Linked DNA regions of Lepisosteus oculatus. The protein of the gene in region 2 binds, or shares a complex with, the protein of the main gene of each other region. Links are inferred from orthologs where the notes say so. Each region holds a gene or a part of one and is shown on either strand. Other genes may lie near its edges.

Region 1 (10,702 bases), on a different chromosome or scaffold from region 2:
TTTACACTATTTAAATATAGCAATAAATGGAGCATGTTTTTGCTGATAATACACTTTGTAGTATTAACAATTGAACGGAAAGTACAATAAATATATATTATTTATACGTTTAACTAACAGATTTGTAAAGCTTGAAACCAATTACAATGTAGTAGCAATAATTAATATCATTAACAAGCATTTTATTTCCACAAATTATAGTCCATATTGCATTGTGGTATTCTTATTAACCTGACATTGATTGCTTTTTCTAAAATATTAAAAATATTATCATTCTGATAATTCTATCTTTTTAAAAATGATAATTTCAGCACTGAAAAATGCAATCCATCAGAATTTCATGTACTCCATTTTTTTTTCATTTCTTTGTTATAAATTCAATATTTCTATTTCTCTTGAATATCTACATGATCTAATCTTTTAAATTACTCTGCTCAGATTTTGGTTTTGTTTGCTCTAGACAACAATTGCAGCTCTCTTCTCACTAGGATACCTGTTCCAGACATCCACAGTCATCAATTCATCCAAAACACTAGAGCTTGACAGGGTATTTTGTTTGCCCAACCTCTCCTATAAAATCACTCTTTTTCACATTCTTCAAGACTAGTGTAATGTGACGTACAAGTGAATGCGTACTGGTTGTGCAGCAGATATTTCACCACAGAAAGTTTCCAACGTGATCTGCGTGCAGAGTAGGTTCAACAAGTACGTTAATTACTTACTGCACTCTTCATCACTCTTCCTCTCCTATCTCCAGGATTTTGTCTATGTTTACAACACCTTCTCATCTCTATTCTTCTTCTGGCTACTTGAATTGCTCCTTTTCTTCATCCTCCAGTCCATCACTCATTCCGCTCTTGCACCACAGTGATGGAACCAGCTACCTAGATAAACCAAGACTGTACAATCTCTGAAAGCTAATTCGAACCAAAGACCCATCTCATTGTATTTTAACTTCAAATACAGTACATTATCTTGGTGTTTTCTGTTCAGGAATAAAGAGTTGTACCTCACGCGTGTATGCTTATCGCAAAAGCTTTTTATGCTATGTTGGATTCTAAGGATTTATTTGTACAGCAATTCCCCATAGTACATTACTTTCAAACACTATGTTTTTTGTTGTTAAAAATGTCTGGAATACATTTGTCAAATAAGGTATTTATTAAATAAAACTTGATACATTAGGCACTAACTACAGCAAATTGAGTTAGAAAAATTAACATCTACAAACAAATTTGTTTAGGTTGTAAGTCACATTTCACTTCTGACATATTATTTATAACTTCACAAAAAACAGTTATTCATTTATCCTTTCTTTAATAAATAAGGAAATTGATGCATACTACAATTCATTAATAACGTGCTCTACAGAACTGTCTCAGCATTTACCCTAGAGCCCAAAATTTGTTAGTTCTTTTTTGAGTGTTGAGGAGTAATTGCATTTTCATATTGATATTATTGAGTCTGAAACCCAAGACACAATCTGTGATTGAGCTCTGCTGATAATGCATCTATTTTCTTGTGTGACTACATATTGATTTATGACATTTTCCTTAGTTCATAAGCATGCATATATTTAAAACTAAACATTTTATTATAGCACACTAGAATGATCAAATTCAATCTGGAATAACTATTTGAGTCTGTCATCAATAATACTGATTTATGACTGATTTCATGTGTTAGCTTAGCTACACATTCAGTTCTCATCTTCAGGACTTAAAATATGCTACAGACAAACTCAGTACCATGGACAGCACACAATGTTTCCCACAGATGGACTATAGTTATTGTTACTGTATTCTGCAGGACATTGTATAAATACATACAATCTTCAGCTCATCATAATTATCATCAAAGTCCACTATATGACTGGTTTATAAATGAGTGTTGTTTGTTCTAATGAATATCTTGGAACTGACAGCACTTTTGCGGCACCTCAAAAAACCACTAACCACATTTAGACATTTTCTTGATGGCTTTTTTTATCTTTCTCTGCATTTCTTTTATGCAGAATACACTACATGAATAACATTAGCAGGGCGATCTTAACTGGCCTTCCAACTTTGGCTTTCTCAAAATTTAAAATAGCGTTAATAAAGAAAAGACCAACATGAATATGTGGCTAATATACAGTTTAGAGTACATAAGCTGAGAGGGAGTCAATTCAACTAGTATTTGGTCTTTGGAAATGTATTTTAAAAACCCACAAGTCACATTTTCTTTTTAATAAAATCTATTTCCTTGCTGCATGGCACTTAATAGAAATGCTTTCAGAAATTAACTTGATCTACAATATAATCCATAAATTGGCTTCTTAGCATATCATTGTCAAAACTAGGATGAGTCTATTTCATATGGTTACAAACAAATTAACTTTCAAGGTCACAACAGATGTCAAAACCCATGTTAGTGGTATTATTATGCAATATTTCACTAGAGGCATTGTGACCCTTTATATGGGCTGGGGATGTTTTGTGTTAGAACTTTGTCACTTCTACTTTAGAAGTGATTGGGTGGGGCAAGGCGGAGCTGCGAGTATGTTCTCCTTTTGATATATAAAAATGAACTTCACATACATTTTACCATGGGAGTGAAGAGAATAAAGCATTACCAGACCCAACACCTACCCAAGTGTTGTCATGGTGACAATGGTGTACCAGAAAGCAGCAGGAATGCTGGTGAACTTGGTGGCTGTTGATCCTTTCTCTGCGTAGAACATCACCGTGGCAAAAATGATAATAGCCATTGTCAGGGAGAAGAGCAAGAATCCTAGCTCAGATGCGCAGCTCTTCAAAGTGTAACCCAAAATACGCAGGCCCTGTGAATGGCGGGAAAATTTGAAGATCCGAAATACACGGAAAACCCTTAAGGTTACAAAGGCACCGCTTACATCTTCATTGTCCGTCATCACTAAACCAATATAATAGGGCATGATGGCAACCACATCAATGATGCTCATAACGCTTCGAACAAACTTGTATCGACTAGGTGCAGCGAATAGGCGCAGCAAGTATTCGACTGTAAAGATCATGACACAGGCTGTATCCAAGCAAAAGAAAGCCAAGGCATAGCGCTCTCCACAAGGCTCATCCCTAACTTTGTTCGGTAAAGAACCACAGGGCACCGTCTCCACCACGTTGGCTATAACGGAAACAGCAATGAAAAATCCGGTGACATAGTAAAATACCAGCGCTAAAGTGCTGGTGTGAGGATTTTCAAAAGCCCGCCACATTGACTGGCGCAAGGTCATATCCGGCACAACTCCATCGTTATTGTTCTCCGTGTCAGCGTCATCTTGAAGCCTTTCAGCATTCTCTCGCCGGCGGTCTTTATATTCTTCATAGCAACAGTCACCAATAATTTCAGGGATTATGCCGAAAAACGCGAGTTCCTCGTCATAGGCAGATATGCATTCATGCCGTGGGTAGTGCAGTTTGCCAGTGCGATAAAAATTAAGTATGTGTCTAAAAATGTCAGGGTCTCTATCAAAAAAATACTCATTACTTTCCTCGTGGAAAAAAAAGTCCCGCTCCGTGCTTCCTAGTAAGGTGTCTGGGTACCTCTCCAAAGTATTCCTCCAGGTCTGAAACTTCGTTCCACTGACATTAAGGATGATAAGACCATCCTGTGGTCTCCGTTTTTCTCGTGGGGGTGGTGGCATAGGTGCACTGGCCACTGGCATCCATCCTATGGCCGCTGCTCGGGCAAAGGGAAGCCAGGCTGCTACTCCCGCTGCCATTCTGACCTGCTTGTCACACGAACACCAGCTAAATCAGATTACAGATCTCCCTCGGCGATTAAAAAACTACAGCGAGTTGACGAAAGGTCATCTACAAAAACAGGGTTAAAAAAAGTAAGAACAAGCATCACAACGAAAATGTTACAGAGATACAGCTGTTGTTGTTTCGTCTGGACTTTTCATGTTCCTTTCTGTATTACTTTTATGGTCAGCAAGCAAGCAGGTTGAGCATCACTAAAGCAAACAGTGAATCACATGCAGTGTAATAACTGATATCGATCAAGATACGTAAGTTGCAGTCCAGTTGGAATTAAAACACTCTGATATGATCGTTTATAATAATAATAATAATAATAATAATAATAATAATAATAATAATAATAATAATAATTACACGTACCTCCACAGAAAGTCGATGGATTTGAAAATAAACGCATAGAGTTTCCTTTTCTCCTTTCTCGTGTTCTTACGAAATCCGTTTTGTTCATTTAACATGAAAAAAAAAACCTGTATTTTAGTACCAGAACTACAGGATATGCACGGTAAGGTGTGAACACAGCAGCAACAAGTTCAGGAGAAATTCAATCACGTCTGATTATGTTAAAATCATTCCTTGCTCTCAACACAGAACGTGCCTTATTATTTTCTTATTTGTGTTCTTCACGATAACGTTTTTTTCAGTTTTTGCTTGTATATTGTGCTCAGCTTCTCTCATCGGCTGAAGGACCACCTCTCATAAACCTGCACAGTGGGCTGAAAAAAAGCAAAAAAAAAATAACTGCAGGCTATTAAAGCTTGTAGCTTTGGAAATGTCACAAAATCCAATAGATGGAAATAAGCGAAATCAATGCACGGATACAATGAATTGAAGAAATGTAACAAGTTAAGTCGGTCGCTTCTTCTATTTGCCCGTTCAGTCTACACGAACAAGAGTAGTGTGCACAAGTTGCTCTGTGTTCTGTAGAAAACGGAGGCGTGTCATGTGCTACAAGCATCAATTAACTCTTATGGATACTACAGTATATTTTGTTCTCATTTGTTAAGAAAATATGTTCAATAGTAAGCAGATTACTTAGAATGTGATTCAGCACCAAGGAGAGCAAACAACAAGCAGGTTTGGTGCTTTTTTCTTTAATATTTCCTCGTGTTATAGGAAACGCACACATTGAAACTATTCGCTCCGGGCGCTAAAAACAACGCAGCAAAACATAAAATAGACAGAGATTGCTTTTTTTTACAGTTGTATTCTACAGGCAACAATATTTCTCATGCACACAAGTTGTTGATCTATATCTCAGATACAAATACATGCTTAATAAAATAAAATGCCACTAGATGGAGACAGCCATTAATTTAGACACTAAATCACTAAAAGAAGGTATGAACCTACTGTAGATTCGTATGAAGCTCAAACACTGTATTAAGGAATGGGCATTAATTCCCAGCTGTCCATGAATTGATTCAATAGTCGCCTATAACGTATAATATATAATTGATCTTGTCATAATACTGCCTTAGGGATCCTCACTTAAGCAAGTAATTTATCTGTGTTATAGATTGAGAACATTAATGGTTTGTGTTGCCACTGCAATTAATAATTATTATAACAATAGTAGTAGGAGGGGTTGTGGAGGCATCGTTTAATCATTTTTAAGAAAGTGAAAAGGTTAGAATTTAATGATACAAAATGCTGTTCTGTGTTTCTAGCGCAATTGCTTCAGTCCAATTGCATTGATAAAAAGAAAATTATTGACATCTGTTTTGCCAATTGACCACATTCGCAGCCTCCACAGAGTTCAAGACAGCTTGTATTCATGTTTTATTATTTGCCCCTCTTCCCTCTGGCAATATGTGTGCATGTGTGTGAAGACCTTCCCCTGCCATAATAATGTCAATATCAGCTACAAAAAGTAAGCTGAAAAATCAAAATACACATCACGTGAACTGCCTTCATTGATTAGACAGTATTTTTAAATTATTTGATAGTCATTTAATTTCCAATAAATCTCTTTTTTCCTCTTCTTCTTAGTGGTCATAATAGTACTGCAAATAGCAGTTGTTAAAGTAACAACAATATGGGATGGGCGATATGCAATTATAATTAAAACACCACAGCACATACAGACAAAAATGATTAAGAAATCTCCTTCTATGCAGTACCTTTGCACAGATAGGTCTCATCTGTATGTGGCAGGATTTTAATGAAAAATATTTCCCTTGGGTGTGGTAGGATTCCAAATGTTAGCAGATTAGTATTATTGCAAAATGATTTTTATAATGATAAAAAATCTATCTTATGATAACCAAATGTCATGGTATCATTAGTTAGACAATATTTTCATTAAGCATTATTCATAGGAACAATATAACAAATATGTTATTTTAGGGAGCAATGCTTCCATCTGCTAACTTTTTTACTTCAATTTGCTATTCTATTTACTTCTTCTATTTACTGAGAAGTGTAATAGCGCAGTAAACACCCATTTTATCTTTGTGACTTTCTGAATCTTTGAACGTAGACAAAAATGTCAAACTGATTTCTTCTCTTCCTCAGGTTGCAGGACAACGTGCTGTTTTTAATAATTTTAATATAGAAGAGTGCACAAGTACCTACTGTATAGCACCAGAAGCACTCATGATGAATACATCTACCAATGCTACCAATTCTAATTCAAAATGATTGTATTTAACTTTACTTTTGACTTTTGGATTGAAGTGAACCTTCAGAGGAATTGAGATATAGCATTTCCCAAATTGTGTTATACAGTACAATTTTGGCTGTAGGGCAAGTTGATTTTATGCAACTGCTGAAGAGAATTATGGAAAATTCTGTTTGGACTTCCTTAATTTGAAAATGATAACTATACTGTAGTTTGTTTATTGTTGTGAGCAGAATGTCTGTTTGGGGCTTTTTAATTTTATCACTGTCAATATTGTAAAATACATATTTAAAATCCAGTAACAAGTGCCCATTAATCCTTATGCATTGGCACTGGTTTCTTTATTATATTGTAGGTATCCATTATAAGTATTAACAGTGAAGCACAAATCAGAGTTCACAAGTGGAAACTATGTCAATTTACAATATTTACAACTATTTACAGTATATCTAAGAACAATAGACACGTCTTTATCTAAAGTGTCATGGGAGAATAAAGCAAGCTACCCAGCCATGGTTTAGAAAACCATTTTAGGCTTTAGGTTTTAGGTTTTAGGTTTTAGGCTTCTTTAAAAAAATGACTGGATGAGATCCTCTGATCAATTAACTACCAAATGTACCAGCTAGGCTGAATGGCCTCCTCTTGCTTGTGTCTACTCTTGCTTATTACATTTTTAATTGTAACAATTACTGGGTTAATTATTCCTGAAGAACATATTAACTACTAAGTGAAGAATTCGGCTTTTCAGGACTAAGGTGGAAAATACTAGATTATTTTAATATAAGGGAGCATTTATTGTTTTAATATTTCACATGAAAAGATCTGAATAATGAAATTCTATTAAGCTTTTAATTATAAAATTGGAAATTTAGTGTATTTATTTTTTAATTGTGCCTTTTAATTGGAAGCTTGTAATTATTCCTAATATTCCTATTTCATATGCTCTGCTACTAGAAATAATAATATTTAACATACAGTACATAAATAAGTTTTGAATAAATAATTGAATTGTATTTAGTATAGTGCCCATGAATTGCTGTGATGTATACGGTATATGGTTATTACATTATACAGTGCCTTGCGAAAGTATTCGGCCCCCTTGAACTTTTCAACCTTTTGCCACATTTCAGGCTTCAAACATAAAGATATAAATTTTTTATTTTATGTGAAGAATCACCAACAAGTGGGACACAATTGCGAAGTGGAACGAAATCTATTGGATTTTTGAAACTTTTTTAACTAATAAAAAAATGAAAAGTGGGGCGTGCAAAATTATTCGGCCCCTTTACTTTCACTGCAGCAAACTCACTCCAGAAGTTCAGCGAGGATCTCTGAATGATCCAATGTTGTCCTAAATGACTGATGGTGATAAATAGAATCCACCTGTGTGTAATCAAGTCTCTGTATAAATGCACCTGCTCTGTGATAGTCTCAAGGTTCTGTTGAAAGCGCAGAGAGCATCATGAAGACCAAGGAACACACCAGGCAGGTCCGTAATACTGTTGTGGAGAAGTTTAAAGCCGGATTTGGATACAAAAAGATTTCCCAAGCTTCAAACATCCCAAGGAGCACTGTGCAAGCGATCATCTTGAAATGGAAGGAGTATCAGACCACTGCAAATCTACCAAGACCTGGCCGTCCCTCTAAACTTTCAGCTCAGACAAGGAGAAGACTGATCAGAGATGCAGCCAAGAGGCCCATGATCACTCTGGATGAACTGCAGAGAACTACAGCTGAGGTGGGAGAGTCTGTCCATAGGACAACAATCAGTCTTACACTGCACAAATCTGGCCTTTATGGAAGAGTGGCAAGAAGAAAGCCATTTCTCAAAGATATCCATAAAAAGTCTCGTCTAAAGTTTGCCACAAGCCACCTGGGAGACACCCCAAACATGTGGAAGAAGGTGCTCTGGTCAGATGAAACCAAAATGGAACTTTTTGGCCACAATGCAAAACGATATGTTTGGCGTAAAAGCAACACAGCTCATCACCCTCAACACACCATCCCCACTGTCAAACATGGTGGTGGCAGCATCATGGTTTGGGCCTGCTTTTCTTCAGCAGGGACAGGGAAGATGGTTAAAATTGAGGGGAAGATGGATGCAGCCAAATACAGGACCATTCTGGATGAAAACCTGTTGGAGTCTGCAAAAGACCTGAAACTGGGACGGAGATTTATCTTCCAACAAGACAATGATCCCAAACATACAGCAAAATCTACAAAGGAATGGTTCACAAATAAACGTATCCAGGTGTTTGAATGGCCAAGTCAAAGTCCAGACCTGAATCCAATCGAGAATCTGTGGAAAGAGCTGAAAACTGCTGTTCACAAACGCTCTCCATCCAACCTCACTGAGCTCGAGCTGTTTTGCAAGGAAGAATGGGCAAGAATTTCAGTCTCTCGATGTGCAAAACTGATAGAGACATACTCCAAGCGACTTGCAGCTGTAATCGCAGCAAAAGGTGGCTCTACAAAGTATTAACGCAAGGGGGCCGAATAATTTTGCACGCCCCACTTTTCATTTTTTTATTAGTTAAAAAAGTTTCAAAAATCCAATAGATTTCGTTCCACTTCACAATTGTGTCCCACTTGTTGGTGATTCTTCACATAAAATAAAAAATTTATATCTTTATGTTTGAAGCCTGAAATGTGGCAAAAGGTTGAAAAGTTCAAGGGGGCCGAATACTTTCGCAAGGCACTGTATATGTATATATTCCAGGATGGAATTATATTCATTTAAACAGTGTTAATATTATGCTAATATAAGAAAACTAATGTGATATATTATTTGCCCTGGGCTTCCACAGATGAAGATGTACTGTATTATACGTTTTTCCCCTTCAACCTGTCATGTATTAATCTACTCTCATAGTGGTTCTCTCAGATCTATGTAGTATTGTTAGATATGCTATACAGTTTGCTTTCTCTTAGGCCCCTGTTGGCAGCTCTCAGGAGAATTATTTGCCTATTAATTATTTATATTATAATTAATATTAAATATTAATATTTATATTTTTAATAATACTAGATTATCAGTAGTGCCTGCTCACATTCTGTTTACTGAATTCCCTGTAGATCTTTGGATTTTCTACCTGTTTGGTTATTTTGCGTGGCTGAAAACATGACGCAACCTGGTCAAATAAAGATCAGTTCTTACCAGCAACAGTTCACATCCTGACATGTTGTGAGACATATAACATAAGTTGTTTGTAATCTCCTCTGAAGTGTTAGCAAACACTGGTACGTCATTGCAGTCAGGTAGTTTTGAAGTTGTTGTACCAATAGCTAATTCCACTGCACCAGGGTTAGGAGAAAGACCTTTAATTGTCCTTTCTTTAACATACTGTATTTTGCTCAACAGACTGTGGTCAATTATGCTTTCAATAAGAAATAAATCATTGGGGAGATCATGTGACCAAGGTTTCAGCATGGTACACAAAGACTCCCCTATTTTCTAGTCACCAGATATCTTTTTGGAGGTTTGTTTATGGTGATCAAGGATGGTAAAGGCACAGAAGAAAATGGACTCATCTCCTTTTTCTCCAACATGCAGATGCTGAAAGAGTTTAACCATCCAGAACTGACTAAAATAGCTGTTCTGGAGCAGAAAGCTTTGGATCAGCCTATGGAAGATGTGAGAGTCGAGAAGGCATCAGGGACTTCTCAGATTGTATTAGTGGTGAAGAACGTGTTGACAATAACTATTCAGCAAAATTGTTCTAAATTAGACTCCTCCCCAGGTGAATAACAGAGAAAAAAGATGGAGTTAAGCTGAAATATCTGGCGAGCAAAGTAATAGAGCATGAGGATAGATAAAGATAAACCAACAAGGTCTTACTAGAGGGATCAGTCCATAAGCCCCTGATTGTTTTTCTGAATAAAACATCCTCTGAGTGTTTCCCAGCTCTAGCCCAAAGAGATCTGTGCATTGAAATGGCTCGTGGGAAAGATCTATTCACTTTGATCACCTGAACTACATGGGATTTTGAAGCTGAAGCTGAGGCCAAATCAACCCTGATATGAGAACGATACTGTCCCACACTAATATGGTCCTTAAACTAGCCAGTGACTGCTTGTTTTCCCATTTTAATGTCTAAACCTTAATGCTGCTCCTTAAATCAGAACTGGAGTCAGAAGTTGTATTGTTCACCTGAGACCTCCCACCTCCTTTCCCAGCAGAGACCAAGCTCCTTGAAGAGTAAATTCACTGGGGAATGGCTAAACCACATGGACGCATATTTCCCTAATCTATGGAAAATATCACCATTTTATACCTAAATCAACAGTTAAGCACAGGTAT
Region 2 (10,943 bases):
GAGGCACATTGAATCACTCCTTCAAATACATTATTGTGGTGAATGAACAGTGTCTGCTAGCCGTACATTTTAACCATAATTTTATTTTGTGAGTCTAGTGTTACAGTAATACTTAACTCATTTTAGAGGTACAATCCACTTGGTTAAGGCCAAATCAGTGGGTGCAGAGTTTACAGTAAGGGTGTACAGTAAACATATTTTGGTAAGGATGAGTGATTTTTCAGGGGATGTAGGGTAGGAGCTTTAGCAAATTCCACCAACTATTGTTGTGTGGCAATAAAGAATGATCTAATAAAGAATGATCTTCAGAATTGCATTATGTGCAAATTGACACACTTTTTGTGGTGCATTATGTGGCGAAAGCAGCAAAACAATAAATGTAACTAATTTTGAAATTAAATGGATTTGAGCTCTGAAATGATTTTTTTTAACCTGATTCAACCAGTGTGAAAGGAAATCTTGAAAGGCTTGGAAAAACTGGAACGCTTTCTGCAACGAATAACGATCACCCATGTCGCAGAAGCTGACTCCCTGGTATCCTTTAAGGACTGGGTGGATAACAGTCCGGAATCAATTTGGTTCTAAACAATCTAAACAGCAAGATGGATGCTATTGCCTCCCCTCTTTTGTCTTGAAGTTTCTCCCATATTTATTTCAGCAATTACGATCTGTCCTCTGATCTGTGGTAAGAGTTCCAATTAAATTTGAGATTTTTGCTATTGCATTTAACACAGCTAGGTTTACAGGTATTGAAATGCATACTATGACAGAAGACCTCATAGCTATAGACTGTACTTTGGTATGTTTTCTATTTGTAGCCAACCAAATGCTAAGATATACAGTATAATGAAGAGTGAAGAATTACATTAAGCAATGTTAGGTTACAATTATGCAATGTACTAATCAGACCTCATTTCTAATATGAGTACAGCTGTGGTCAGTACATTAGAAAGAAATCTTTGATGCCCTGGAAAAAGCTTAAAAACAGAAGGACTTGCTCGGGCATAATGTGGGTTATGTGAAGTTGAGTCCCTAGACCTATCCTGAAGCAGCTTGGTGTGATCTCATTTATTGCCTCTCTTATGCCCTTAAATTCCAGTATCTCAGTTCTAACATGGCCCTGGAGAGGTCTGGTGCTACAGGACGTGTGATATAGTGCCTGCTATGTCAGTGTCACTCACTGGGAGAGACCTGATGAACAGCTGTAACTGCCAGCACGCGAGGCTGCTCACCTCACATGCTCAGCTGTAGAAGACCCTCTCGACCTTCTCGGCTTTACAAGCCCATTCGTTTCCAGCTGTCTCAGAATAACTACAAAAGGACCAATTGTACGGCCTGAGGATTGTCCTTGACTTCTCTGTAATGAATACAGCCATATAGTCGCATATTTTCAAGGCAATTCTTGTGACACCAAATTAGGAATGTGAATCGTTGGCTCGTGCTTGAACTCTCTGCGATTGCCCTTGTACTATACCTAACAGAGCTGCTCTGTCCAGCCCTGTTCTGCATTTCCTTCACGGTTGCTCAGTAATGACAACAGCTGTAGCTCATTAGAGAGAGACAGGGAGGTCTGATTTATTAAGATCTTGATGAGCATTAGGATGTAACTAATGTAAAAGAGTCACAAAGCTCACTGTTACATATTATGGAAGTGTTCATGTTTGCCACAGTACTTCCGCATCAATGGTACAAATAATAAGCTTCTACAATGCAAAAGACCATGCTGCCATACAGTATATTACTCTGTTTGTGTCTGTTTCATTTGCTGTTTAGTGCTGTGTTTGTTGCAATTCTCCTCCTCATGGAATAACACTATTAAAATTGCATAAAAATCAATCCCTTAAAAAGGGTTGGCATGATGGTGCAGTGGTTAGCACTGCTACTTTCTAGGTTTTTGGTCTAAGGTTCAATCCCAGCCTAGGACTCCTTCTGTACACAGTTGATATATTTTCTGTATGTCTGTTTTATTTAAGCCTCTCTGCTTTCCTTCTACCACCCAAAGACACTTTATTTAGGTTAGGTGATGTCTACAAATTGTGTGTGTGTGTAGGCCTGTAAACTGGCATTTCATAGATGATATAGAGTACAGTAGTCTCACCTTATACTCTCAGCATGTGGGATAGGTCAGGGTTGCCACAGCTTTTGCCATAAATAAGCACCTTTCTCATAGTGGATAGATGGAAAGCTTAAAACAGTCTAACAGTGAATTTTAAACTCACTTCTTTCTGACTGGCAGGTTATTAAACACTGCATTTCAAATCTCTTCTGAAGATTGTGAATACCTATTTCTCCTGCAGCTCATACAAATAACACATCTCTAAAAGTTAGTGTTGGTGTTTGGGATACATTATATACAGTATATTAGTAAGGTAAGGATAAAAAATCCAGAGGCATGGCAAATATTAGCGATAGGGTTAAGGTTAGACAAGGGCTTGTGTGTAACAGTTAGTGGATGTTTAAGGACTCAGCAATAATCCCAAAGAGCTTTAAGGTGAACATTTTGAGAATGTGTTTGCTGATGAAACCTGCTGTCTACATAAAATACAATTAGGCTTTGTTAATGAGCATGTGCCCAGTCATTAAACCTTCTCTCGGGAATTTTCACATTAAAACCTGACACTTAGGTCAACAAGCCAAGAGGTAGCCATCACTAAACACAAAGAACACATTCACACACAGGATCAAGAACACCACCACACCACATGCAGTCAACCATGAACCAATGAAAAAAGCCAGCTTTCCAAAAGTGGAGCAATTTTGCTGACCTGGCTTTACATATTGTTCATCACTTTTTCAAGTTGAAGAGTGGTTCAGCTGACACTATCGGATTAACATCAATGGCAGACATTGGGGTGAAAAAATAAAAATCTCTTTCTTAAACTGCAGTTCAGGTACAATGCCCAAGTATGATGGGTAGAGTAAATACTGGAGTTCCACTTGCTGTACATATAGATCTTTGCTAATAATTGTTTTCATATGTGAAAATCTGCAAAACATCTGAAAGAAGACAAAATTTGAAAATGTACCAAAATGGGAACTACTGCAGACTTCTAAATACTGTAACTGCAGTTTTATTATAAACTGTAATCTATAGGCAGAAGATATATACTGTACTGTACATTAATTCAAAAATCTCTTGGAGCCTTAGAAACCGGACATGAATCACCAGGAAAATGAGAGCTGTAAATGAACAGGGTGACTGATTTGTGAATCAGTGATGTTTGGGGGGAATATTTACAAGATAATGCCACCCTATTAGTTGGCATGCATTCGGCTGTCCGGTATGTGACACTTTGTGTTCTATGTGGTGATGAAGCATCATTAAACAGATGCCTGATAAATGTAGAGACAAACATAGGGATAAATCATGAAAGACATCCGTCAATCATAGTGAAATACACTCCATTCTCAAAGCTAAGAGCTGTGCAGTAGGAACAATTGATAGGTCACAATAATTAAATGTCTGAGAACACATTCTGGTTCTATTTGACAAGCAGCTGTTTGTCTGAAAGAACAACAATAATTCTATGGCATCTTATAGACATCTTAAACTTCACCAGCTGCATACTATAAAAAGCCATTGTGAGTAAAATCACAGAAAATTACATTGCTCTTCAACAGTCTCAGTTTGTTCCTGTTTTTTGTTTTACTATTTGCTTCTCAAATCTTGTTTTTGAGTTTTCCGAATATTTCATTTGGTCTAAAACAGAGTTCATATTTCTTCTAACTCCTCTAAAATATGGTCTCTCCCTTATTTTAACTAGTTTACTAGTTAAATTATAAGAACTCTTTCCTGCTACACTAATGCTGACACCTGAAAACTGACATACAAAAGTATGTTTTGCTACAGTATATATTAGCTTAGTAATACTTTCAAAGCAATATGACTTGTACTCAGTGATGTAGATCATTTTTTAAAATTTTTTGGTACTTCTTTGAATTTTGATATGCATTTTGCCCTCCTTACTCTTTCAGTGAAAAATACACACAATCAACAGCAAACTTATCTGAAGCCACACCTCTGTTCAACTCCTCTCCAATACCTACTCCTGCCAAGCAAGAAGCTAAACTACAGTATCAGCTCCACGACATTGCAAATTTCATGGTTTTGCTGCAGCTAAATTAATTGGTTAATGCAAAAGAGCAGTTACCAGGAAGCTCGCGGTTCAAGTCCTAGCCCTGTTTCTGACTTCAGTGTGTCTCACCTCACATGGCTTATTTAACATCCGAACTGAGTTCTGAGCTGCATGGGAGAAACAATCTCCAAATCCTGTTGTACTGTACGACACTGTGCAGCAGCTGTTGCATATATTAAACCCAAACCTTTGCAAGTCTCTTTCACAAAAGCTGCTAATTCACTAAAGATGATTTGTGCTACCACTGTATGTACATTCTCCTCAAACCATATTGAACGAAATCTTCTTTTTTTTTATTTTCACAAAGAATTACGCATTATAGTTTTCAAAATTTCAATAAAAGCAAGTAGTCTATTTCCTTGTAGGTCATTGGCTAACAAGGTTAATTGATTGTTAGCACTACAGATACCTACAGGGTGCTCAAAGCACAGACTAAAGCTGTGAGTGCTACTACAGAATAAGCCATCTAGGAAACTTACTCCTCCCCCTCTTCCTCCCTGGGATCAGCACCTTCATGGTTTTGAAGAGCACTCCGGCAGTCTGTGGAATGAAGGCCATGTCTGAAGAAAAAAGGGATCAGAGCTCCTGGCAACTCTTCACTTCTCTTCCTCCAGCTTTTACCTCTCCGCCTCTGTCCCTGCTCATTTTTGCCTCATCGCCCCCCTCCCACACACCCACGTCACTTGGTGCCTGACAGGCCACGTGTCGTTGGTCACCGGGCTGTGGATTTATATCCTCATCACCACAGTGGAGCCGCGTCCAGCAGGTTCAGGCTGCGAGTCGTCACTGATTTACAAGGAGATGGCACGGGGACAGTCACCAGCCACAATCAAACACTCCCTCTGCTAATGGAACATGTCAAATTGCGGTAGACCTCCATTAACTGGTCCGCTGTTAGCCTAGTGAGGAAATGAGAGCTGGCTCATTTGATCACATACAATGAGATGCAAGCTCATACACATATACTGTATGTCCACACATATCCATGCCGATTATGCAATTACTCTCAATTACAGCTACCTGGTTCACAAAATCACCCCTATATTAACAAGTGACACCCAGTCAACTCTCTGTATTACATGCAGAAAAATGAGGAATGCTCTGATTTGTACCATTTAACAAAATATAAAGCAGAAGGTATTTACTGTACATATTAAGACTCAGATAAAAGCCATGTGTTGCTGTGCAAAAGTGTCTGCTTCTTGATGAGGCAGAAATGTCATCAATCAATCAATGATAATCTTGCTTCACAGGAATGGATGTTGTGTAATGAACTGTGATTGGAAAGGTCCTGTCAGGTGCCTGTGTTTTATTCTCCTTTGTTATAAGACGTGACGGGCTGAGAGGCTGGAATATAAACGGAGGAGTGTGGTGCGTGTCGAATTCTGTCCCAGTCATGTTGTTTTTTGTCTGCATAGAAGGCACTACTGCTGCCAGTGTCTGAGACATACTGTACTGCACCTTGATGAGACAATGTCAGCACACAAGTCAGTCCTCAAAATAAGTTAGGCAAGCAATAGTCTGTACTTTGATGACAGGCATCTGAAGAAAATGAGGTTGAAACAGTAGGTGGCAGGGAACTCTGTGCTGTAGGAAATGCAGCCTTTCAAACGAGACATGAAACTATGGACCTAGATATTTTTATTCATTAAATTCCCTATAGCATGATTTAAAATGTCTATTTTCTCTGCCTAATGTGTATATTTAAAATGGCTTTTGGGCACTGCCCCAGAGGGTGCTGCACTTCAATGGTGGATGAGATGACTTTCCTGTTAGTTAGTTAGAAAGAGTTTTGGGATGAAAATCACTACATGAACACTACAGTAGATGTTGTTATTTTAGGTAATGACTCAATGTACTCGGGATGGCGCCACGGTTAGTTGCAATGCTGCCTCATTCAATTCCAGACCCGAGGTGCTGTCTGGGTGGAGTTTGTATGTTTTCCCCATGTTTGCTTGTGTTTCCTCTGGGTGTTGTGTTTTTCTCCCACAGTCCAAAAACATACGAGAAGGCTAATTGACTTCTGGGAAAATTGGTCCTAGTGTGAATGTGTACAGTGCCTTGCGAAAGTATTCGGCCCCCTTGAACTTTTCAACCTTTTGCCACATTTCAGGCTTCAAACATAAAGATATAATTTTTTTTATTTTATGTGAAGAATCACCAACAAGTGGGACACAATTGTGAAGTGGAACGAAATCTATTGGATTTTTGAAACTTTTTTAACTAATAAAAAAATGAAAAGTGGGGCGTGCAAAATTATTCGGCCCCCTTGCGTTAATACTTTGTAGAGCCACCTTTTGCTGCGATTACAGCTGCAAGTCGCTTGGGGTATGTCTCTATCAGTTTTGCACATCGAGAGACTGAAATTCTTGCCCATTCTTCCTTGCAAAACAGCTCGAGCTCAGTGAGGTTGGATGGAGAGCGTTTGTGAACAGCAGTTTTCAGCTCTTTCCACAGATTCTCGATTGGATTCAGGTCTGGACTTTGACTTGGCCATTCAAACACCTGGATACGTTTATTTGTGAACCATTCCTTTGTAGATTTTGCTGTATGTTTGGGATCATTGTCTTGTTGGAAGATAAATCTCCGTCCCAGTTTCAGGTCTTTTGCAGACTCCAACAGGTTTTCATCCAGAATGGTCCTGTATTTGGCTGCATCCATCTTCCCCTCAATTTTAACCATCTTCCCTGTCCCTGCTGAAGAAAAGCAGGCCCAAACCATGATGCTGCCACCACCATGTTTGACAGTGGGGATGGTGTGTTGAGGGTGATGAGCTGTGTTGCTTTTACGCCAAACATATCGTTTTGCATTGTGGCCAAAAAGTTCGATTTTGGTTTCATCTGACCAGAGCACCTTCTTCCACATGTTTGGGGTGTCTCCCAGGTGGCTTGTGGCAAACTTTAGACGAGACTTTTTATGGATATCTTTGAGAAATGGCTTTCTTCTTGCCACTCTTCCATAAAGGCCAGATTTGTGCAGTGTAAGACTGATTGTTGTCCTATGGACAGACTCTCCCACCTCAGCTGTAGTTCTCTGCAGTTCATCCAGAGTGATCATGGGCCTCTTGGCTGCATCTCTGATCAGTCTTCTCCTTCTCTGAGCTGAAAGTTTAGAGGGACGGCCAGGTCTTGGTAGATTTGCAGTGGTCTGATACTCCTTCCATTTCAAGATGATCGCTTGCACAGTGCTCCTTGGGATGTTTGAAGCTTGGGAAATCTTTTTGTATCCAAATCCGGCTTTAAACTTCTCCACAACAGTATTACGGACCTGCCTGGTGTGTTCCTTGGTCTTCATGATGCTCTCTGCGCTTTCAACAGAACCTTGAGACTATCACAGAGCAGGTGCATTTATACAGAGACTTGATTACACACAGGTGGATTCTATTTATCACCATCAGTCATTTAGGACAACATTGGATCATTCAGAGATCCTCGCTGAACTTCTGGAGTGAGTTTGCTGCACTGAAAGTAAAGGGGCCGAATAATTTTGCACGCCCCACTTTTCATTTTTTGATTAGTTAAAAAAGTTTCAAAAATCCAATAGATTTTGTTCCACTTCACAATTGTGTCCCACTTGTTGGTGATTCTTCACATAAAATAAAAAATGTATATCTTTATGTTTGAAGCTTGAAATGTGGCAAAAGGTTGAAAAGTTCAAGGGGGCCGAATACTTTCGCAAGGCACTGTACATGTGTGCCTACCCTATGATGGACTGCTGTCCTGTCCAGGGCTTACCCTGCCTTACACCCATTATTGCTGGGAGAGTTTCTGGCTTCCCTGCGACCCTGAATTAGATAAAGTGGTTGGGAAATGAACTGACGGACTTTAAGTAGTTTTGAGACTCCCCTAATACTGCAACAGAATCAAATTAACCTGGGCTGTCTGTTCTCCCTGCACCTGCTGCGTCAGTGTTCACCAGACTCCTGGCTGGCACAGTGGCATTCAGAGCTCCAAAATCCCACAGCAGCTGGCATGAGCCATTTCTGTCTCCATTGGCTTCGCTGGCAGCAAGCTGCCAAATTTCACCATGACACTCAACAGGTGGCTGGCTAACAGACAGTGGCTCAGCAGGTGCTGATTGATCACCTGTCCTAGATTGTTGCCTTGCTTTCCTGTCACAGATTCACATTGAGGTTAGATCAGTTAGGGCAAATGCAATTCAAAACATACTTTTAAAATAGCATTTCCACAGGGGAAAACTATGATTTTAAGCCTGATCTTTCATCAGTTGCTAAGATATGCAATTATGTTTTTCCTTAACTTAGTATTGGCTGTCCTGTTTATCCATCTTCTCCAAAGCAACTTAAAACTGTTATCCACGTATACAAATGTCTGTTTTACTGAAGTGATTTCAGTGACATATAATGATCAAGAGTACAAAAGAATAATATTTTCTGTGATGTACAGTAAAACAAACAATTTTCTAGTTACAAGTCTTGAGTTCTTAAGTCCTACCTTACACTGAGGTTGCATCAGAACTAAATCAGCTCACATGGTGCTCTAAGTTCATGTTTAGCTTATATTTAGCAAAGATTCTGTTTCTTTGAGACTCTGGTTTCTTTTATTTTCTGTTACTAATTTTGGGAGAGCCAATTTTGGGTGTAGCTTGGGCAGACTAAGAAGCATTGATTTGGTATGAAAGTGTTTTTAATGAAGCCGTGCCAAAAATGTCTAATATTGTGATGAACCCAAAATAAAAATAAAAATAAAAAAAAAAGTTCAATTTAAACAAAACATTCAAAGCAACAAGAGCATTCAGTTCAACTAAAATATTCTGATTGCAGAAGTACTGTATTCACTCCCTTTACTTTGGCAAACTTAATTTGGCTCAGGTTCACAAATTACTTTGACACAAGGAGCCGATTGGCCCCTGCAAGTGCACACTAATATTAGTTAACTATTTTATAATTTGTAAAATGCACATTTGTAATCTTAATTTAAACTACATGGAAAGTAGTGTGAGTTTTGTACATATTGTAACTTCAAGGGTTACAATATTTGCAAGAATTACCTAAAAATAAAGCACAACTATCTTTTCTTCTGAACATTTTGTGCTACTACACCTACAGTACTTTAGAGGGACGTGTGTGAACTGGTACTAATGCATCATGGTGGGCACTTCAGCTCTAACTTGTACTACTTCAATACTAATACTGTATTTACTACTTTTTTCTAATATACTATACTAATATTGCATTCTCGACAAGAGTAGGTCGTTATCCCGGTGTCGGGGCCAAATTTCCCCCCTTGGCTTTTACCTTGGCCTCCAAATTGTCCCCATGTATGATTGGCTTGCACTTGCCCTGCGATGGACTGGCGCCCTCCAGGGTGTACCCTGCTTGCTGGGTAGGCTCCGGCTTCCCGCAACACCGTATAGTACAAAACGGTTTGGCAAATGACATGACGTAATTTCTAATATTTACTGATTTTTCACCATAGTGGAATCTCCTATTTTTTCCTCTCCTCCCAGTTTGCCAGAGTAGCACTGCTGTTAACAGGCTTTCTCTCTGCTGCTGGCTTGTCACAGAGGCCTGGCACCTAAACCAGGGTTCCTTTCTGGGGCTAGAGTCCAGATGTTGGCAGCTGCCAGTCCTGTGCAGTACACTGGAAGAGGGGATGAGGGAGGGGCTCTGAGCAAACCTCAGTTCCCCAGACATACTAAAAGCGAAGAGCAGATGGCCAGATCTGAGAATAACACCATGGGTTTTAATGTTTTTTAACCTCTTAATTTCTGCCCTGAATAAAATTGCTCAGCCTTTCTTTCAGCTAACAACAGGGGTGAAGGTTTTTCTAAAACTGCACTTTTGCTGCGTTTTGTTTCATAAACAGAAGATGTAGAGTCGAGAGAATACTCAGCTTAACCTTTATGTGCCACCAAGAAACCACTTTTCTGCACTTGTAAAAATGCACGCACAACAGTCTGATATACAGTTTAATACCGTAGTTCAACGGGGGTACAGTTCATAAAGACTAAATAAATAGACTGAGTGTTTTTCCAGGGAAATTTCAGAAATAACTAAAACTCACAATGTATACATCTACACATTGCTTTCCCCTTTTCAACACATCAATATCAACACACAACAAAATCAATATTTATCTGCCTGGTTCACTCCACTAGCTCACACACACCACATGCAGGCTGCAGAGAAACACTCAAAACTCTCTACTTTTGTTTTTAACACCTGTTCCACACACTGTCATACACACCAAGGACTGCTGAACAAGGTTTCAAGTAGTCTCCTGCATGACTTTCCACCCCTGCCTACTACTCTGTATGCACTGACTTCACAAGGAGGTTATATCACAAAACTCCCTATCGCAATGTCACAACCTTCTCTTTACACTGCTCCTTCAAGACCAGACTCTCTCACACATCACAGAAACTTCAAATCACATCTTAGAGGAAAGAGCAAAGCTGTTCCCTTTCAACCTGACCCTTTGTTTGTTTTATTAAAAAATGCAGTATTTTTACAAAAGTCTTTTCCAATGTATTTCTTTTTTTTTATTCTACACTCTGTGCTCTGACTTGGGCATTAAAAAACAGTTTCCATAGACGACAGCTGCAATGTCTATGGTACACCAAAGGGAAAACACAAAAAGCTTTCAGATTTCCTTTAGTGAGAACGCACAAGTAATAAGGATCCCCTTTATCTTTGCTTTAATTGAACTCATGGCAAAATGCAAGGTCAAATATCTACTGTGCAATCAGTGAATATACAGTATGACAGAGCCCTGCAGTGTATACAGTAAAACAAGAAATGTATAAACCTGGCTTACTAACAGAACCTGATCTGATCCAATCACA
Region 3 (10,591 bases), on a different chromosome or scaffold from region 2:
ACAGACTACTTTACTTTACCATACTGCAACATGGACAGGACAGAGGCTCAGATCTGAACATTTCTACCAATTTTCCAGACATGTCTGGGGCTAGGGTTACTCCAGAACATATAGACAAAACAAGCTCAAGAAATACTCAGGCAGCCTAGTATTAAATAAAATCATGTGATGTATTTTCTGTTGTCCAAATCTTTATAGTACATAATAATAATCAATGTCTGATAACAAGTGAAGGCAAACGTTGGAAATGGCACCTTCTTAGTTGATAAACAAAATGTATGATTGAGGGGTAAACAAATGCGTGGAAAACAAATCAGGGATTTATTTACAACAAAATAATGAAAATAATGAAAACTGAAAGAAAGGTTTGCAAAAATTAATACTGATATTCTTACAGTTTAGCATTAAGCAGTTGAATACAATGTTCCATTGAATTGTAATTGTAATGGGGAAAAAAGCAAAGCAAGTTGTGTTTTTAACAACGTAAATAAGAAATGTACATGGGTTCGCACTGACCATACAGAATATTCTGAAGGGAATGCTTTTTATTAAAATGATCTTGTGTGTCATAACTGAGAACAAACAATTGCTAAGCTAGTGCTTGAGTGCACATAAAAGTACTGAATTCTATAAGTGTCTGTTGTGGTATAGGCAAATTGTTGCCACTTTTATAATAAAAAGGCAGTGCTGGTATTTGGCTTTAATGTGCTGAATTAATATTTCAAGACACACAGATGTAAAATGTGGACAGAACACATTTCAAGTACTGCAAACTTCCTTGTGTGAATCACAGACACACTGCATTCAAATCACCAGCAAAACACAAGCGAAGAGCTTTGTCATGATGGCTTTAATCGAATATCTGTCTTATTTCACCCAAGATTACCAGGTACCAGGATATTACCAGGTTTGGTGTTGAGATAGTATCTTCATCAGCTCAACAAGATACAGTGAGGCTCAAACTATAGGAAAAAGGAAAGACAAAGAGGAGGAAAATGAGAAAGAGAAAAAGGTGTATAGGAAGAATGCCTCTTACCCAAGGGTGGTCATTGTGACGATGGTGTACCAAAATGAGGCCGGGATGCTGGTGAACTTGCTGGCAGAGGAACCCTTCTCAGCGTAGAACATGACAGTGGCAAAAATGATGATGGCCATGGTCAGGGAGAAGAGCAGGAAGCCCAGCTCGGAGGCGCAGCTCTTGAGGGTGTAGCCCAGGATGCGCAGGCCCTGCGAGTGGCGAGAGAACTTGAAAATCCGGAAGACGCGGAAGACCCTTAGGGTGACGAAGGCCCCGCTCACGTCCTCGTTGTTGGTCATGACCAGGCCAATGTAGTAGGGCATGATGGCCACAACATCGATAATGCTCATCACACTGCGGATGAAGCGGTAGCGGCTTGGGGCAGCGAAGAGGCGCATAAGGTACTCCACGGTGAAGATCATGACGCAGGCCGTGTCCAGGCAAAAGAAAGCCACAGCGTAGCGCTCCCCACAGGGCTGGTCCTTCAGATTGGGTGAGGAGCCACATGGAACGGTCTCCACCACATTGGTGATGACTGAGATGGCGATGAAGAAGCCGGTGACGTAGTAGAAGACTAACGCCATGGTGCTGGTGTGGGGGTTCTCGAAGGCACGCCACATGTTCTCGCGGAAGTTCAAGTGCGGCAAGTTGTCTTTGCTATTCTCTCCGTCGTTGTCGTCCATGAGGCGCTCGGCGTTCTCCCGCTTGCGGTCCTTGTACTCTTCGTAGCAGCAGTCACCGATGATCTCTGGGATGATGCCGAAGAAAGCCAGCTCCTCGTCGTAGGATGAGATGCACTCATAGCGGGGGTAGTGCAGCTTGCCGGTCCTGTAGAAGTTGAGAACACTGCGGAAGACGTCGGGGTCACGGTCAAAGAAGTACTCCTTGGCCTCTTCGTTGTAAAAGAACTCCTTCTCTGAGCTTCCCAGTAGGGTGTCAGGGTAGCGGTCCAGTGTGGTCCTCCATGTCTGGAAGCGCCTCCCGCTCACGTTGAGCACGATCAGCTCATCCTGCCTCTTGTTCTTGTCACTGGGCGCAATGGGCATGGGGCAGTTGGCCACAGGCATCCACCCGATGGCCGCTGCCCTGGCAAAAGGGAGCCACGCTGCTACTCCCGCCGCCATGGTGACTCCGGCTCGGGGCGTGGGGAAAAAGTCTTCCACCTTTAAAACCAGCTTGCCTTCAGGTTGGGAACCATCTAAGAGCAAAATAAATGGGTAAACCAGTTACTTTGGTCACGGCCGTGATCTGATTTATTACCCGATTCCTTGGGGTACTTCAAGGAATGGCTTGACACGATCATGATTAGATACCAGCAAGATGGACAAAATGGTGTCCTTTGCTTTGCTGGATTACCATTCTTTGCTCCTTTCATGCTGTTTCTATGATTTTAGTGTTTTGCACAATGTTAAATAAAGTTGCAGGTATATTGGTAGCCTCTATTCTCCACCAAACGACTAACTGAACCACAGGTGCTATGATTTTGCTATGACATCTCAGGGATTCCTAGGTAAAACAAAATAAATGTATTAATGAGTTGTTTCTTGTACTTGTTATCACAGATAATAGAAAAAATTGATCTAAGTCATGATAAGTATCATGTAGGAAATACAAATTTCATCAGAGTGTGTGAAGGGCTAATGAGTTAGACATTTTCTGAAAGGGTTTTTAAGGAATAAATTAAGAGAAAATGACCTGCCTATTGAATTTACCAGCCACGAAATTCACCTTGTCCTTTATTCTAACACTTGTCCGTTTTACAAGACACAATCTGGGCTCATCAGTACTTGGTGTATGTTTACATTCCCAGTGGAGTCACCGGCTGGAAGAGACATTGTGTTAGGATGCACAAACTGAGAACAAGATTAAAGGACCTATTTCACCGTGGTTTGAGCTTATGTAATTACAATAATAACAATAACAATAACAACACCAACAAAACAACAGCTATTATTGTTGTTGTTATTAATAATACTATTATTATACGACTACGACGATTTCAAGATGACGATGATGCAAAGTTTACATGTATATGTATGTTCTGTCGTATAAGCGACACGCAGGCTTAAAGTGCTTAAAATGAACTACAGTATGTGAACTCCTGTTGTCTGTGGTCAACAGACGCATTCCTTTTTTTCCTCAGCAATGGACCGAACAGTCTTTCACAGGAGCGGGTAGTGCAGCTCGCATCCGCACACTCAGACCTGAAGCGCTGACGTCCCGGTACCAGAGTCGTTTTTTTATGTAACCGATTCCTACAGTACATCGGATAACACAGCTGACAAGACAAGAATAACCACGTGTAGGCAAATTGTTGCCACTTTTAGAATAAAAGGGCAGCGCTGGTATTTTCAACAAGTCACTTGCTCGGTGCGAGGCAGTCGTTGGGCATAACAACGCCGATGTGGCTCAGGTTTCGCTGCTTGGAATTATGTTCTCTTCGATGCGAAGCGCAGGAAATTATTTTTCAACAAGAGATGCCAAGGTATCAAGAGATGGTACATTAAACTGTCGGTAAACATAAACGTTTTAAAATCTCTCAAACCTTGATAGAATATGTCTCTTCGGGGGATCGAGATGCGACTAGAGGGTTCGATACCTGTTGAGCATTAACTGCAAAGAACAAGAAGAAACAGAACATCTTTTCCTCCCTTAGATTGTGACTATGATTTGTGAAAGATGTGGAAAAAATACTCCCATCTATCAACAAATACCGAAATCGTGATGAAAAGCCGTCAGAATCCTGTTTCACAAATAAACGAAGTTGAACGGCCATTCAGAGTTTTGCACACTTAACAGGTGAAAACTGATGTATATAATATATAAAACTAAAACGGCTCTGAAAAAATGACTTGTAATTATTACTGCTATTACTATTCTAAAGGCAATTCTGAATTATTCTGAAGAGTTCCTCGTTTGCCAAAAATGTTCATCACAAGAACGCACAACTGGCAACAGAATTTTTTAAGTCTATGTGAATCTACAAGCATGTTTCCAAAAGTCCCGCGATGAAAATAAAAGAAGATGCTATTTTATTGTGACTGGAATGTCGGAATACTGCACGACATCATGTAACATTACCAACATAATACTGTCTACGACCGAACTTTCTTAATAAAATAATGTAAACTTTTCTTTTTCTTTTCTATACACTTACCTCTAAGGGGAAAAGATCCAATAAAAAGAAAAAAAGAAAAAAACAAGATTATCCTTCGGGAAAGTAACTCTGAAAATTGTTGCTGCTTGTCTTTATAGAGACGCAAATCCTTGTGAGCTCCAGAGTACAATTAAGGAATTAAAAAAATTCAAGTAGGAGGCGATCAGAAACAAGTGAACTCGCGCGTACTGTGGATGCAAAAGCTTTGTCACTCTGTCCCCTTTTCTGTCAGATAGCTTTAGCTGAATGTCTCTTATTCAGCGCTCGAGATTCCAGCGTGAACGTGTATTCCTTTCGCTCCATCAGTTGGTAATGGTACCCAGATAGGCTGGGATGTTGTGATGACACCTTGCAGGATGCTAGGATGATGGACAGAAGAGGGAGTCTCTCTCTCTCTGCTCTTTCTACCCCCTTATCTCTCTCTCAGATGGTTTCTCTCCCCCCTCTCCCTTTCCTTTCCCCCTTTCCTTCTCTCCTTTATACAGTATGCTGGCGAAACGCTTCTTTCATGAACACAGGAAAACCAGAGAAACACACCGAGGCACTGTCCGCTCACTTAAAGATGCCGTCTCCTGGCTCGTGTATTACACAGGCGAGGCTGTCTGTGGGTTGGTTTTTTATTTAAATATATATTAGTTTTTCTTAAATGACCGTTTAATGAAGGATCATTTTGTTTCTATACAGTATATACAATGTTTTGGGGGCATTTTGTGCATCTTGGTAACAGTAAACATTGACGGCTCTCGTAGTGCGTTTTCCTTGCTGACAATTGACACGCGTAATTGTATTAGTCTACTACTGTACAAATGTGTTTATTTATAGCCTAACACAGTGCGTCCTTCAGATTTCCACTGTGACACGTCTTTAAAAAAGAAGCACAGGCAACCTAAATAACGCCTCCAACATTTTGCATATCACGAGTAAATTACTTGTACGTGGTCTGGCGTAGTAATTAAAAAAAAATGGGTGCTTGTGTATGCGAATCATTTGGTGTATTGTAAAAATACGTCGTATTTGGAAAATTTACCATGTAAATTGATTTTACGGTCTCGGGGATAGTGGGACTCGACGAGGCTCTTAAAATGCCCCAAATCGAAATCAATGCGTCAATACATCTTTCCAGGTGATATTTCAAAACAATAAAACAATTCTGTCATTTTTTACTATATATTATCTATGTACTGTATATGACCATATTTGTTTTTGCTGGTACTGACCACTGCTAAATCTTAGTCATTATTTCAAGCTGATCGAATAGGCACATTCAATCACCATACCTCCACAGCTGAGAAAAGCCGTATTCCGTATCATTACTTTAATCAGATTGCTGGCTGGGCTCGTACAGTATCTACTGTAGTTAGGAGAAGCCTGGAGTGGCAGATTCTTACTGAGCTACAGGTTAGACTCCTTTGAACATAAAACAGCTAACAGAATCCTTACCAATACAGTGTAAATGTAAAGAATCTTAAGAGTGGTATATTTATTTGGATTGTGATAACTTTGCCCACGTCTTGTGTCACATTAGATTTTTTTAACTGGTCTAAAAACAAGAAAAAAATATATTTTCTACCATTTGCAATGGTAGGCAGATGTGTAGGACTGTTGTTCAAATATCCTACTGTGAGAATCCAAGAGGCAACACACAGAAAGTGCCAGGATCAGACTTACCAACTGTTAGAAGATAATTATTTTATGACTGATGAAGAAATTGCAAAGATCTTCCCTGGTTTCCCCCTTGCACAGGCAGCAGTGTGTTAAGAGAGGCAGGAGACTGGAACTGCAGATCACTGAGTTTTTTGGCCCATTTTAGGTACAGGGGTGTGCTCGTCATTCAGGAAGGAGAGGCAGGTAGGAGGCAGGAGGAGAGAGAGATTAACAGCTGCAGCTGATCAGCTTGGGAGGTTAGACACGAGAAAGAAAGAAAAGGAAAAACGGACCCCATATCAAAGAGGAGGATAGAGGGAAAATGACTCTGCAAAATACAATTTAGAGGGCTCAGAGGCTCCAAGACAGACTGTTCCTGGTGGTGGGGTGCTACAATATCATGGGTGGACTCAGTATCTTATGAATGTAAAAGACTCGGGGTTTGCTGCTATAACAATATATACTGTACAGTACATTACATAGTTTCAAGTGAGCACTGTACTGTATACTGTATGGTGTCAGTTGCCAAGACCCAGACATGAGATTATTAAAAAGGTGCCACCTTTTGGTGCTGTGGTGCTTTGGTAACACGATATTGGATCTGAGCAGAGCAATAAGACCCACCTGCAAATGGCAAATTGTAGACCTTGTCCGTTTTGAAAATTGTTTTGGGGGTAATTTCCAGTGGCTTATTGCTTCGGCCACAAGAAAACATGGAATCTAACACTGTGTAAGTTGTAATTGATCCAAACCAGGGCTCCAGCCGCAAACTATGCTGAGAGTGGTTTTACTCATTATAAAGAGGAAATTCTAATAAAGTAGTCAGTAAATGTTTCTGTAAATACACATGCAATATCTTTCAGGAGTATTATTTCCTTGTGCTTCAAATAGAATCTGAAATGATGGGTTCAGTTTTAGTCTGCAAAAAAAATCAATATGCAACTGGTGACTGCCTGCCTGCCTAAGTAAGGGAAAAAAGGTGATGAAATTAATTTTGGAAGGGACACTATTTCCAATAGTTTGTGTTCATGAAACATTTGCCTTGGCCTCAGGTTAGACATTATTAATCTCCTGCTGGAATGGACAGCAATCATGTCAGTGTAAAACTGCAGTTCCCATTTCAGTTCTTTAGCAGCAATGTATTATCAGCTAATCTGCTCCTTTGGTTATTGTGTCATTGTCAGTGGAGAAACCCCTGTGTACTGTACAACCTTTACTATTTTAAGGGGTGCAGGCACCAAAATGCAGCCTATCTCAGAAGCATAATGAACTCACATGATATCTGTATACAATTGACCTGCACACCAGTCAATTGTAGGACCAAGGAAAAAGGGACAATTTAGAAGAACCAGTCATGCCTACACATTGTGTCTTTGGGAGGTGTTAGAAAACTACACCATATGGGGAAAACCAATATGAATGCTGGATAAATCCGCCAACACCACACAGAGACACGAAGAAGCCAACCCAGGACCATGGACTGGTGAGGTATCAGAACTAACAACTGGGGTCTTACTACACTGGGTCTTCCAGCACAGTATGCCCCATTAATATTGTAAATACAGTTTATACTGTAGTTAGCATTAGGGTTAAGATTGCAATATGTACAGCACATATGAAATCTCCACTTGGACATGCTGGTGGTCTTAGGGCACCCTGTGGACATTCAGACACAGCAGAATATAGTGGCAGATGTACCTTTATAGACGTACAGTATAAGAAAATGTAGGTTATTGGGACATTTCAATTCCCCAATAATAATTCCCATTTCTAGGATACATATTATATTGTTACATATTACACTGAATATATAAAACATTAGGAATGTTTTCCTCAAATTGTGTTGCACCCCTCAGAACCCTCAGAACAGTCTCAATTCCAGTGCACACAGTTCACACAGTTGTGTTGAGTTGGTTGGTAGTGGGCCTCTACTCTGAATATCTTCATTCTCATCCCACAGATGTTCAAGTGGATTTTGATCTGGTGACTGGCCAGACCATTGTTTTAAGCTGAATTCATTGTCATTTTTGTGGAACCATTCCTGTACAATCTTAGCCTTGTGGAATGGGGCATTATCTTGCTAAAAAAAACATCAATTCACAGCTGGATACACTGCTGTCATGAATGGAAGCTTCTGATCGGCAATGATGTTCAGATATTCTGTGGTATTCAAATGTTGTTCCATTTTTATCAAGGGGCCCAATGTGTGCCATGAAAACACACCCCACACCATCACATCACCACCACCAGTTTGCAATTTTAAAACATGGCTTGATGGATCCATGGACTCATGTGGTTTTCTCCATACCTAGTACTCACATCAGAGTGAAAAAGTAGGAACTAGGATTCATCAGACCAGGCAGTGTTTTTCCAATTTTCCAGTGTCCAATGTTTTAATCCCTGAGCCTCATACAACAGCAGGCTGAAGGAAGTGATGCTCTGTAAGGTTGTCAGTTGCCATACCCTATTTGTGTCAAGGTGCAACGAGTTGTGTGTTGTTTTATTGGTATTTCAGCACCAGTGATGCACTGGACTGTCAGTTGACAAAATGTATACAGTCTGTTGATCAGCACAATTCATGTTGAATGATTCTTTCACCTCTTTCATCAATGAGCTGTTTTTGACCACTGGCCTTCAGTTGGTTGGATGCCTTTTGTGTGATGGACCATTCCAGATACACACAAGACACTGTAAAGCTTGAATACCCCATCAGCATTGCAGTTCTTGACACACTCAAACCAGTGCACCTGGCACCTACCATCATACCCTATTCAAGGGCACTTAAATCTCCCTCACATACACAACTCATGTCTCAGTTTTCTCAAGCCTTAAAAATCCTTCTTTAACCTGTCTCCTCCCCTTCATCCACACTGACAGAAGTGGATTTCACAGGTAAAAACAATTAGGGGTCATAGCTTTCACCTGGATACACTGGGTCAGTCTATTTCAAGGAAAGAGCAGGTGTCCCTAATGTTTTGTACACTTAGTGTATATTACACTACAGTAACAGATTCATCAATATGGCAAGTCTGACTTGTTTTTTCTCAGAGTAGTGAGTGGCTTCAAACACCTGCCAGGACAGTTTGATCTAGACTCCTCCACTTCCTGTGCCTCCTCTCTTGGGTGATAAAAATTACAGTCAGTTGACACACATGAACAGGACACCCCTAAAATTCATCCATTTTAAGGAGCTTCAGCCCTACTGACTAAACCTACTGTAGCTCTGGTCCTCAAGGACAACGCCCAGCTGGTTTACTTAAACATACAGCACGAGGCCTCAGGAGGAGAGTTAATCAGCTCACCTATGTCTTACATTTTACCATGGTCTGAAATGTCTGTGGTGTTAAAATATGTGGAAAGCCTGCTGTAATGTTGCCCTTAAGCAATGGTCCTAGAAGGCCTGAATGATGTAGCTGCTCTCTTTCCTTTTATGTTGACAAAATCACCCAATATTGTTGTTTTAACTTTTGTTTCCAATTTAAAGCTCAGATAAAAACTGTCAAATTCAGCACTCATACTTAGACTGCTGTCTGTGCTAGTACGTATGCGTAAGGCCCATATTAAATCAAAACATTGACCCTTGCAAATCACGAAACCCTAAGATTCCTTTATCTGCTCAGTAGTGTATCTACAGGTTTACATTGCAATCTCAGGGCAGATTAAAATCTAGACTTTAATCTGTCACCATTTAAGAAGACAGCATGTCTGAGCCCAACCACATCCTTTAAGTTTACCAATGAAGGCACATTCGTTTTTTGAAAAATGCAGGGTTTGACTTTTATCAGCTCTGAGCACTCCACCTCAAAAAAGCAGGCACAAGAACACCAGACAGCTCTCCAGACTGAGCGGCAGACATGACACGACAAGGGCGCTTTGCATGCTGGGAATCATTTTGAGCTTCTTTTGAAACCATGAGACAGGCTTGGTGTTTTCGGTTATGCAGAATAGCTGACTTGCCTGCCCTGAAAAAGAATAATTAGTATTTAGGAGTGTGAGCACTGATAGAGATGTTGAGGTAGGTCAACTGAAAGCAATTGCGGCCATCTACATTGCAATGCAATTCTTTTGTGTTCTGAGCTTAAGCCTGTTTTTATTAGTTCATGAATCTGGTCTCACAGTCCTTTCACTAGTAGTTTAGGAACATAATGTAAAAGGGTGCTATCTATTTAAACAAAACTGCGTATAGGGACTCTTCCTTTCCAGCCTCTAAAGGAGCTTGTTAAGAGTACGGAGAGGGAACAGAAATCCCCAAAGAGGTGAAGCTTAGGTGAAGCTCTTTATGATTTCTTATCTATTGCACATCTCCAGTTGTTTACACGTCTGTATTGTTTACATTCAAACTGTCTACATGTTTACTTGCACATTGTCTATTGTTTGTTTGTACATTGTCTTGATGCACTGTTTGCACTTTGTCTTGTTTTTTACACTTATTTTACAATAGAGAGACTTTCTGTAAGTAAGAATTCCATTGTACCGGTTACATATGGCAATAAAGTTCAAGTTCAAGTTCAAGCACAGGGCTCACAGCTTTCATTGCAGTGAGAGTGTTTAGGACTGTAAACAGCAAATACTTTTTTTTACAGTATCCAAGGAGATCTGGAACAAACTACCCAAATATTTTTTTAAGCCTGATCCCATTGGATCCTTCAAGAAATGGCTGGATGAGATCCTCAGGTCAAGTAGCTGCTAACAATCCACTAAGCAAAACAGAACAGCCACCTTTTGATTTGAACTTTTCTTGCTTTCTTAAATTACTTTGCATCTACAGATTG

Evidence for each region. The genes of interacting proteins can lie anywhere in the genome.
Region 1: the proteins of A-type potassium channel modulatory protein KCNIP2 (region 2) and kcnd2 are in contact, whole or in part, in a cryo-EM structure (PDB 7UKH), measured with the Homo sapiens proteins. The link is inferred for Lepisosteus oculatus from reciprocal best matches to the Homo sapiens genes KCNIP2 and KCND2. Residues at the interface, in NP_775283.1 of Homo sapiens: Arg112, Gly113, Phe114, Asn116, Glu117, Cys118, Val123, Phe128, Ile131, Tyr132, Gln134, Phe135, Phe136, Tyr144, Leu148, Phe152, Phe165, Leu169, Ile172, Leu173, Arg180, Trp183, Ala184, Leu187, Tyr188, Met201, Met205, Ile208, Met211, His228; in NP_036413.1 of Homo sapiens: Val5, Ala7, Trp8, Leu9, Pro10, Phe11, Ala12, Arg13, Ala14, Ala15, Ile17, Gly18, Trp19, Met20, Pro21, Val22, Ala23, Ser24, Gly25, Pro26, Met27, Pro28, Ala29, Pro30, Trp55, Asp57, Arg61, Arg100.
Region 3: the proteins of A-type potassium channel modulatory protein KCNIP2 (region 2) and kcnd3 are in contact, whole or in part, in a cryo-EM structure (PDB 7W6S), measured with the Homo sapiens proteins. The link is inferred for Lepisosteus oculatus from reciprocal best matches to the Homo sapiens genes KCNIP2 and KCND3. Residues at the interface, in NP_775283.1 of Homo sapiens: Arg112, Gly113, Phe114, Asn116, Glu117, Cys118, Val123, Phe128, Ile131, Tyr132, Gln134, Phe135, Phe136, Tyr144, Leu148, Phe152, Phe165, Leu169, Ile172, Leu173, Arg180, Trp183, Ala184, Leu187, Tyr188, Met201, Met205, Ile208, Met211, His228; in NP_001365898.1 of Homo sapiens: Val5, Ala7, Trp8, Leu9, Phe11, Ala12, Arg13, Ala14, Ala15, Ala16, Ile17, Gly18, Trp19, Met20, Pro21, Val22, Ala23, Asn24, Cys25, Pro26, Met27, Pro28, Leu29, Ala30, Pro31, Asp33, Trp54, Arg60.

The regions. Positions count from the first base shown.
Region 1 is NC_090702.1:40,357,699-40,368,400, forward strand, and holds the start of kcnd2 (A-type voltage-gated potassium channel KCND2), read right to left. Parts: upstream 4,680-10,702; 5' UTR 4,143-4,679; intron 3,834-4,142; 5' UTR 3,743-3,833; coding exon 2,631-3,742; intron 1-2,630. UniProt on the Homo sapiens protein: Voltage-gated potassium channel that mediates transmembrane potassium transport in excitable membranes, primarily in the brain. Mediates the major part of the dendritic A-type current I(SA) in brain neurons.
Region 2 is NC_090699.1:44,615,426-44,626,368, forward strand, and holds the start of A-type potassium channel modulatory protein KCNIP2, read right to left. Parts: upstream 4,981-10,943; 5' UTR 4,695-4,980; coding exon 4,616-4,694; intron 1-4,615. UniProt on the Homo sapiens protein: Regulatory subunit of Kv4/D (Shal)-type voltage-gated rapidly inactivating A-type potassium channels. Modulates channel density, inactivation kinetics and rate of recovery from inactivation in a calcium-dependent and isoform-specific manner.
Region 3 is NC_090700.1:31,940,419-31,951,009, reverse strand, and holds the start of kcnd3 (A-type voltage-gated potassium channel KCND3), read right to left. Parts: upstream 4,680-10,591; 5' UTR 4,176-4,679; intron 2,217-4,175; 5' UTR 2,143-2,216; coding exon 1,037-2,142; intron 1-1,036. UniProt on the Homo sapiens protein: Pore-forming (alpha) subunit of voltage-gated A-type potassium channels that mediates transmembrane potassium transport in excitable membranes, in brain and heart. In cardiomyocytes, may generate the transient outward potassium current I(To).